Linked DNA regions of Oryzias latipes. The protein of the gene in region 1 interacts with the protein of each later gene in a biochemical or structural test. Links are inferred from orthologs where the notes say so. Each region holds a gene or a part of one and is shown in the gene's direction. Other genes may lie near its edges.

Evidence for each region.
Region 2: the proteins of ADP-ribosylation factor 1 (region 1) and cyth2 are reported together in a solved structure, tested with the Homo sapiens proteins (3 studies listed by BioGRID and IntAct, with this or other methods). The link is inferred for Oryzias latipes from reciprocal best matches to the Homo sapiens genes ARF1 and CYTH2.

The regions. Positions count from the first base shown.
Region 1 is NC_019877.2:22,745,579-22,748,206, reverse strand, and holds part of ADP-ribosylation factor 1, read left to right. Parts: intron 1-1,985; coding exon 1,986-2,110; intron 2,111-2,628. UniProt on the Homo sapiens protein: Small GTPase involved in protein trafficking between different compartments. Modulates vesicle budding and uncoating within the Golgi complex. In its GTP-bound form, triggers the recruitment of coatomer proteins to the Golgi membrane.
Region 2 is NC_019874.2:19,306,374-19,310,644, forward strand, and holds the start of cyth2 (cytohesin-2), read left to right. Parts: upstream 1-1,268; 5' UTR 1,269-1,391; coding exon 1,392-1,458; intron 1,459-2,440; coding exon 2,441-2,591; intron 2,592-4,271. UniProt on the Homo sapiens protein: Acts as a guanine-nucleotide exchange factor (GEF). Promotes guanine-nucleotide exchange on ARF1, ARF3 and ARF6. Activates ARF factors through replacement of GDP with GTP.

The DNA.
Region 1 (2,628 bases):
CCTTTTTCCTGACATTAAAGTCGTCAGCAACTATTAGGGCTATTTGAGTTTTTCCTGCCTAGAAAATCAACAGTTGGTGTAACAGTTAGGTTTCAGAGACAAACCTCCACGTCTGGTTTTCCTCTCTATATTTCTCTGTCAGGGCTTTTCTTTTTTATTTTGTCAATTTTAATATAAAAACAAACGTTTTTAAGCTTTTGGGAACGACATCACCTTAAAAGTAGTCTATTTTCACCATGGCAACAAATCAGTGTTGTTGTTTTAGGCCCAAATCGTCACGCTTAGATCCTGGGATTAGACTATCTGAGTTAACGTAAGTCATTTGAAAACAGAAGAATACATGAAATATGATAACAGTGGTCACCTGGAAAAGGATCTCAGCCAATCAAGGCTTCGTTTATGTGTTGTGTGTGTGGACTGTGTATGTGCTTAGCTGTTGAAAATATCGCAGGTCTAGCATATATGGGACTAATTCTTGTCAACTGCAGTGAGCATCCAGAGAGGCTCTGGAAAACTCAGCAATCCTCACAGGTTCTGGGTTTCCCATGGAGTTAAACCCTCCTGGCTCAGTATGTGTGGAGTCTGTAACCGTTCATCCAGACTCTCCTGGAAAAAAAATACATACTTGCATGTCTGATAAGCTTTGTTGATTTATTTAAAATAGAACTACATTTATATAAATGAATGACATTTATTATTTACGTAGCAATTTACAAAAGTGCTGTACGATAAAGGACTGAAGAAAGTTTAAAACTAGGCAAATTAAGAACACAATTCATAAAATTACTAATGCAATAAAATACATAAAAGATCAAAGTAGTGCAATAATAATATGTTCAGATATTTGTGGAAAAAAGATCCGTTAAGTCTCGGGTCAGCTGGAGTGACTGAACGAAACATCGGACACCAGCACAGGGTTTGTGCCGAGCGGCAATCAGACCAAGAGAAACACGCTCACAAGGGAAGAATGCACCAGTATCTTTAAAATCACCTGTAGGGTCAGAATTAAGCAGTTCAACAGTGAACAGCACTAAAAAATGTGTGTGTTGTCAAAGTTACTGTTGTTTAGTCACAGAAAACGGGCAAATAAAGAAAGTTTGATTCAGGAACTGTCTTTTTAGCAGCTAACCAGTTCCAGTTTGATGGAACTGATTCTAGTTGACTTCTGATCGGCTTGAAAGCTGCGTCCAGGTAGACGTTTGGACTCCCACGGCTCGCTGTTCACAGAGCTTTTCCTCTCAAGGCTCTTTTCTACACTTCAACCTGCTGTTGTGCTGCCAAATGTTTTGTCTTCCATTTTTAGTCCTTCACTCCTGATGAAGACTTTTCCTTTTGCTACACTTACCACAGTGGGAAATAAAATAAACCCACTCTAATTTATCATGTGCTGATCATTTTGATCTATTTTTTTTATGACAAGTACTTTTTGTTTGTTTGTATATTATATCGGGTAAAAAATTACCCGGCAAAAGTGATGCTGCCATTTTTATAGCCAAAGTGGTCCACGGTTAACTAGTAATACCCGGTAACCTAGCAACGAGTTAAACTGGACGTTAAACATCCTGAAATATTTTTTAGAAGCAAAGCTTTTGACAGAATGTCAAAGATTCCCGACTGTAACTTTGAAGTGTCACAGCTGTCTGACTGTATCTCAGCCGCGTGACATTCACGTGTTTTATCACGACACTCGAAAGTCTGTTTCACCGCCGCCTTGTGGTCACAGTGGCGCATGACGTCCAAATGACAAAGGTTGAAGCAAACGCGTGTGTTAAACCCAAAGACTCCAGTTCAAGAGTTTCTATTGGATCCAGTCAAAGATTTCAGAAGTCCTCCAACATTTTATGTGTTCGTCTGTAGAAATAGCATCGTTACAAAGAGGCAACCTCCTCTTTCAAAGCCCAGCATAAAGGTTTTGTAATGCAGGTTCGATTCCTCTGTCTGGCTGTGTCTTTCTGAGCCGGTGGTCTCTGCCGCTTTCTTCGCAGGGCTCATTTTTGTGGTGGACAGCAACGACCGGGAGAGGGTGAACGAGGCCAGGGAGGAGCTGTCGAGAATGCTGGCGGAGGATGAACTAAGGGACGCCGTGCTGCTCGTGTTCGCAAACAAACAGGTGAGGCCGGACGTCTGCGGCGTCTTCTGTGGCGTGAAGAACAGGCGGTAGCCGCATCTCCATGTTTTCAGGATCATTGTTTTGAGGAGCGATGAAACCTGTTTGTTTGAACTAGGGCTGCACGATATGAGGAAAACTTGCGATATGCAATAGTAGAGATTAATATTGCGATAACGATATAATTTGCGGTATATAAAAAAAATAGAAAAATGCCAAAAACATCATTCCCATTTCATTAGAAACAGTTTAAAATTACACTCCAAATGACCCTCATCGACATAGGTGACAAACATCTAACATAATAGGCCTCCATCTGATTGGTCAACAATGGGAAGGCGTCCATCTGATTGGTCAAAGCATAAAGGGATTTATTTGATTCGTTAAAAGCGTCAAGCTGCCATAAGATTGCTTTAACACATTTTGGGTTTACGATTTATTGCGATATTCGCAGTCTTTTGCGATATGCCTATTGCAGAGCTGGATATTGCGATAACGATAAATTTGCGGTATATTGTGCA
Region 2 (4,271 bases), on another chromosome or scaffold:
AATCAGCATACCACGCTGGGCCAAATCTTTATAGTAAGTCTTTAAATTGATGAATTTTTGAAATGTAAGTTCCTAGGTACCCTTTAGATAATGGAAACTGCAATATGTGTATTTTGCATTAGGTCTTAATGGGTTCAACTTCATTTCTGACATTGAGTCAAATTTTTGACACGTTTATTGCTTCACATTGCAGCTAGAACACTATACTAACCTTGTGCTTACATAGCTACATAATGTAAGTGCAGCATGTCAGGTTGTTCTTGTGAATTTGAATTATGTGAGAATCTGCACACACTTTAATTCTAAAATCTGCCAAACCTTTTTTAGTTCACATTGAAAGTCCGGCTATGAAAGCTTACTTTTCTAATCCTGTTGTTGTTTAGAGCCAGAATGGGGTTATAGTGTTAAACATACGTTTGGTCTGATTCCTTCCTTGACAATGCCAGTAAGATGTCTATAGTTTGCTGCTTGTAAAGAAATTGTAATTATTACTAAGCCAATGAAATCATATTAGAATGTACAGTTTTTAGCTCTGTTTTCAAATAAATGTAGCTCATCAATTTGTCTTTTTTTTGTCACACTTTGTCAATAAAATATGCAAGCCTTATAAGTGTGCATCACTTTGCCCTTCCTTAATTTGAACAGTTTACTTTTAAAGCATCTTTCATAGCCTCTTAGTTTGGAAAACAATCTGATCTAAACTCAATAGGTTTATGACTTTGACATGGACTCACTTGTGGACTCATAAGGTCCAAAGGACTTCATTTTGCGTTCCAGAGCCAACAGATGGTAGGCAGACTTTTACAGAGCTTTATCAGAAAGTTAGTAATTGACGTTCACACAGATTTTACAATTTACTCGTGAATCAAATTTTAAACACATTCAGTAATTGAATGTGGTATTTACCATTCTTCTACAATGTTCTAAAAATTGTTTACCTTATTTCAATTTTTGGAAAATACAGATTATGGCTTCAATGTATAAACTCCACAAATCAGTGTTTTTAAATGTTTCATTTATTTTAATTGATTTTTTTTGTATATTATCACAAGGCTTTTTTAAATTAAACCTGGCTTTTATTTACTAAGTCATACTTTTAATAAGGAATATTTACATCTCGACATAATATTTCTATTTTATTACGTATACTCATTCTGACCGTGTAAACAAAGCCGATAAACATGTTGCTGTCATTCTCCTTACACAGTCAAATCCAGAGATCATTATTTTGAAAAACATCTGACCGGAAGTACATCTCTACAAACTCAGTTACCACTTCCGGCGTTACCACCTTCTTTGTCTACGGCCCAGGATTTCGCTACCAGTGGTTGTTCAGTTTTCCTTTGATTTGAGAATATATTACTTTATACATCCCAATTTTTTTTACATTTATGACACTCGACTCTGATTTATTTATGCCTAAAAGTAAAGCGCCAAAAATGGATGACCTGGACTACAGTAAGTGGGGTTACTTTCGTTTTTTTGCCCATAATATCGTAGCTAAACGTAGCTAGTTGTAAAATATACATGAAGATAAACACGGCTTTACATATTTCCTTAAATCAAAGGAGTGAATTGTTTTATATAATCACGTAAACAACAAAACAAAGCACTGAATGAAATAAACAGCTACCTAAGACACAGTCAGTGTGTGTCGTTGATTGCCTCGTCGTGCTAGTTTAATAAAATTGACGTCGCAGATCTAAACTTGCCACTGAGTCGGGCTTTTAATGTGCATACAACAATATTTATTAAATGTATAGGCTTTTCTTCTAAAATGTAAACCTTATTTACACCAGGCTGTGGGCGTGGTTGGTGGTTCAAATAAATTATTTGTGAGACAGCTTCACGCTGCAGAAGATTGTGGATCATCTTTTTTGTAAACAACTTTATTGCAAATGAAAATGTTGACAACAAAGGTTTGTGGAAACAACTGGGTTTTATATTGAGATTCTTAGTTGGCTACAGAATTTTACCCGTAAAGAACAAGGTCAAGCTATTGTGACTTATTTCTATTAAACCTTTTCAACGCACAAATTACAATACCACCTTTATCATTCAGATGTTTTTGCACAGGTCTTTACTTGGGCCAGAGTGATGTGCAGTGGTTTTTGGTCATATTTACCCGGCAACCTCAGTAAAAAATTTCCTTATTTGCTTGGACTATTTAGTCAACAATTGAATGAATGGAAAACTTTTCCTTGAGTGGCATCATTGTGTGTCAAAATCCATCCATTAATGTCTGCCCCCCTCCCCCCATGGTCTTTTTTAAAATGTTTTTTTTTTTTATAATATCCCCCAGCTGATATTTCAGTTTCAATCAAGTCCCTTTTGTCTTACCACCACTTGAGCCGGTTGACCCAGATTGGTTAGGCATAGTTTAACCATTTATGATGTCCAGCTGCAGTAGTGGTGCGATCATTCTTCTCTTCCCCTGCAGTCCCAGTAGACTTGAGCCCAGAGGAGCGCTCTGAGCTGGAGGACATCCGCAGGAGGAAGGGCATCCTGCTGCAAGAGATCCAGAGGCTCAGGGAAGAATTAAGAGAAGCAATCTTAGAAGTAGAAGGTCTGGAGACTAGCACAGAGGGCAGGTAAACCAAAAAAGAGAAACCTGTGTTCTGCTGATGCATAATTATTTCTAGTGCTTATTGTCCATAAGTTGAAAGCTCATCTTTAATTCTAATTTGACTGGTGTTCTTGTTCCATATGACCCATTTCACCAGTTTATCTTAAACTACTGTATTATTTATCTGGCTTCACAGAGTCACATACCTTATTCTATCTTATACTTAAAGAACAATTCATGTAACTTTTGTCTTGATCAATTTGTTTTGTATTTAAAAGAAGAAAAAAGGAAGCAATACTTTCATAATTGCAACAATATTAACCTTTTTATTGTGTGCATACATAACACATGTAGTTCCAGGCATCCAAAGCAATGAAACTTTAGAACCATATAATTATAATTTACCGTATTTTCCGGACTATAAGTCGCCCTTTTTTTCATAGTTTGGCAAGGGGTGCGACTTATATTCTGCAGCGATTTATATTAGAAATAAATTGAAATAAATACATTGTTAACCCTCCTGTTATGTTCATTTGTGAGGAACAGAGATGATGTTCCTGGGTCAATTTGATGTATGAGGTATGTTAGGTGTTAAGAGTATGTTAAGTGACTTAGAGAATCAGCAAACCTTTTTTTACAGTAAGATCTTGAAGGCTAACAACATAATATTCTATTTTCCAATGATTTCATAGATTCAGAAATGCAATAAAAATGACAACGGTTTCTACAAATACAGGATGAAAACAGAGTATTAGTGTGCCAATGATGCTTCATGAAAGGAATAAATAAATAAGTATGAGAAAGAATTACGGTGAAATTATGAGATAAACAGTCTGCTATGATTGTGTCATATGAGGTTTTGCAAGTTATTAGTTCTTGGTCTCAGATAGGCCTGCACAATATACCGCAAATTTATCGTTATCGCGACATCAAGCTTTGCAATATGCATACCGCAAAAGACGGCGAAAATCGCAATAAATGGTTACCTTGACCCTTGTGCTATCCTAGGCACTTTAACATTGGGAGTTGGGTCATCTAGACCCATTAGACAGTGCACTGAACCTTTTTTCTTCAATTATTTGTGATCTTCACTGGTGTCTATGGATTACATGAAATCTTTCCACCTTTATCCACCTTTGTCATGCTAGGAATAACACATCAAAGTAAGGGGGGGGGGGGTCATCTAAGATAGCACAAGGGTTAAATGTGCTAAAACAAACTCATGGCCGCTTGAAATATTGAAAGATGAAATAAATACCTTAATGCATTTAACCAATCGGAAGGACCCGTTTACGCTGTTGATCAATCAAATGAGCCCTTTTATTTTTGATGTTTGCCTCCTATGTCGACGAGGGTCATTTGGAGTATAATTTTTAAACTGTTGCATTGAAATGGAAATGATGTTTTTGGTTGGTTTGATATTTGTTTATATACCGCAAATTATATCGTTATCGCAATATTAATCACCAATATCGCATATCGCGAGTTTTCCTCATATCGTGCAGCCCTAGCCTCAGATTTTGTCAAATAAATTTCCCGTCAAAATGGGACTTATAGTCCAGTGCGTCTTATCTGTTTTTTTCCTACTTTATAATGCATTTTTGGGCTGGTGCGACTTATACTCCGGTGCGACTTATAGTCCGGAAAATACTCAGTGTGTTTTAGCCACTGAGCCTGATCTGCTTCCCAAAAAAAAATATATCAT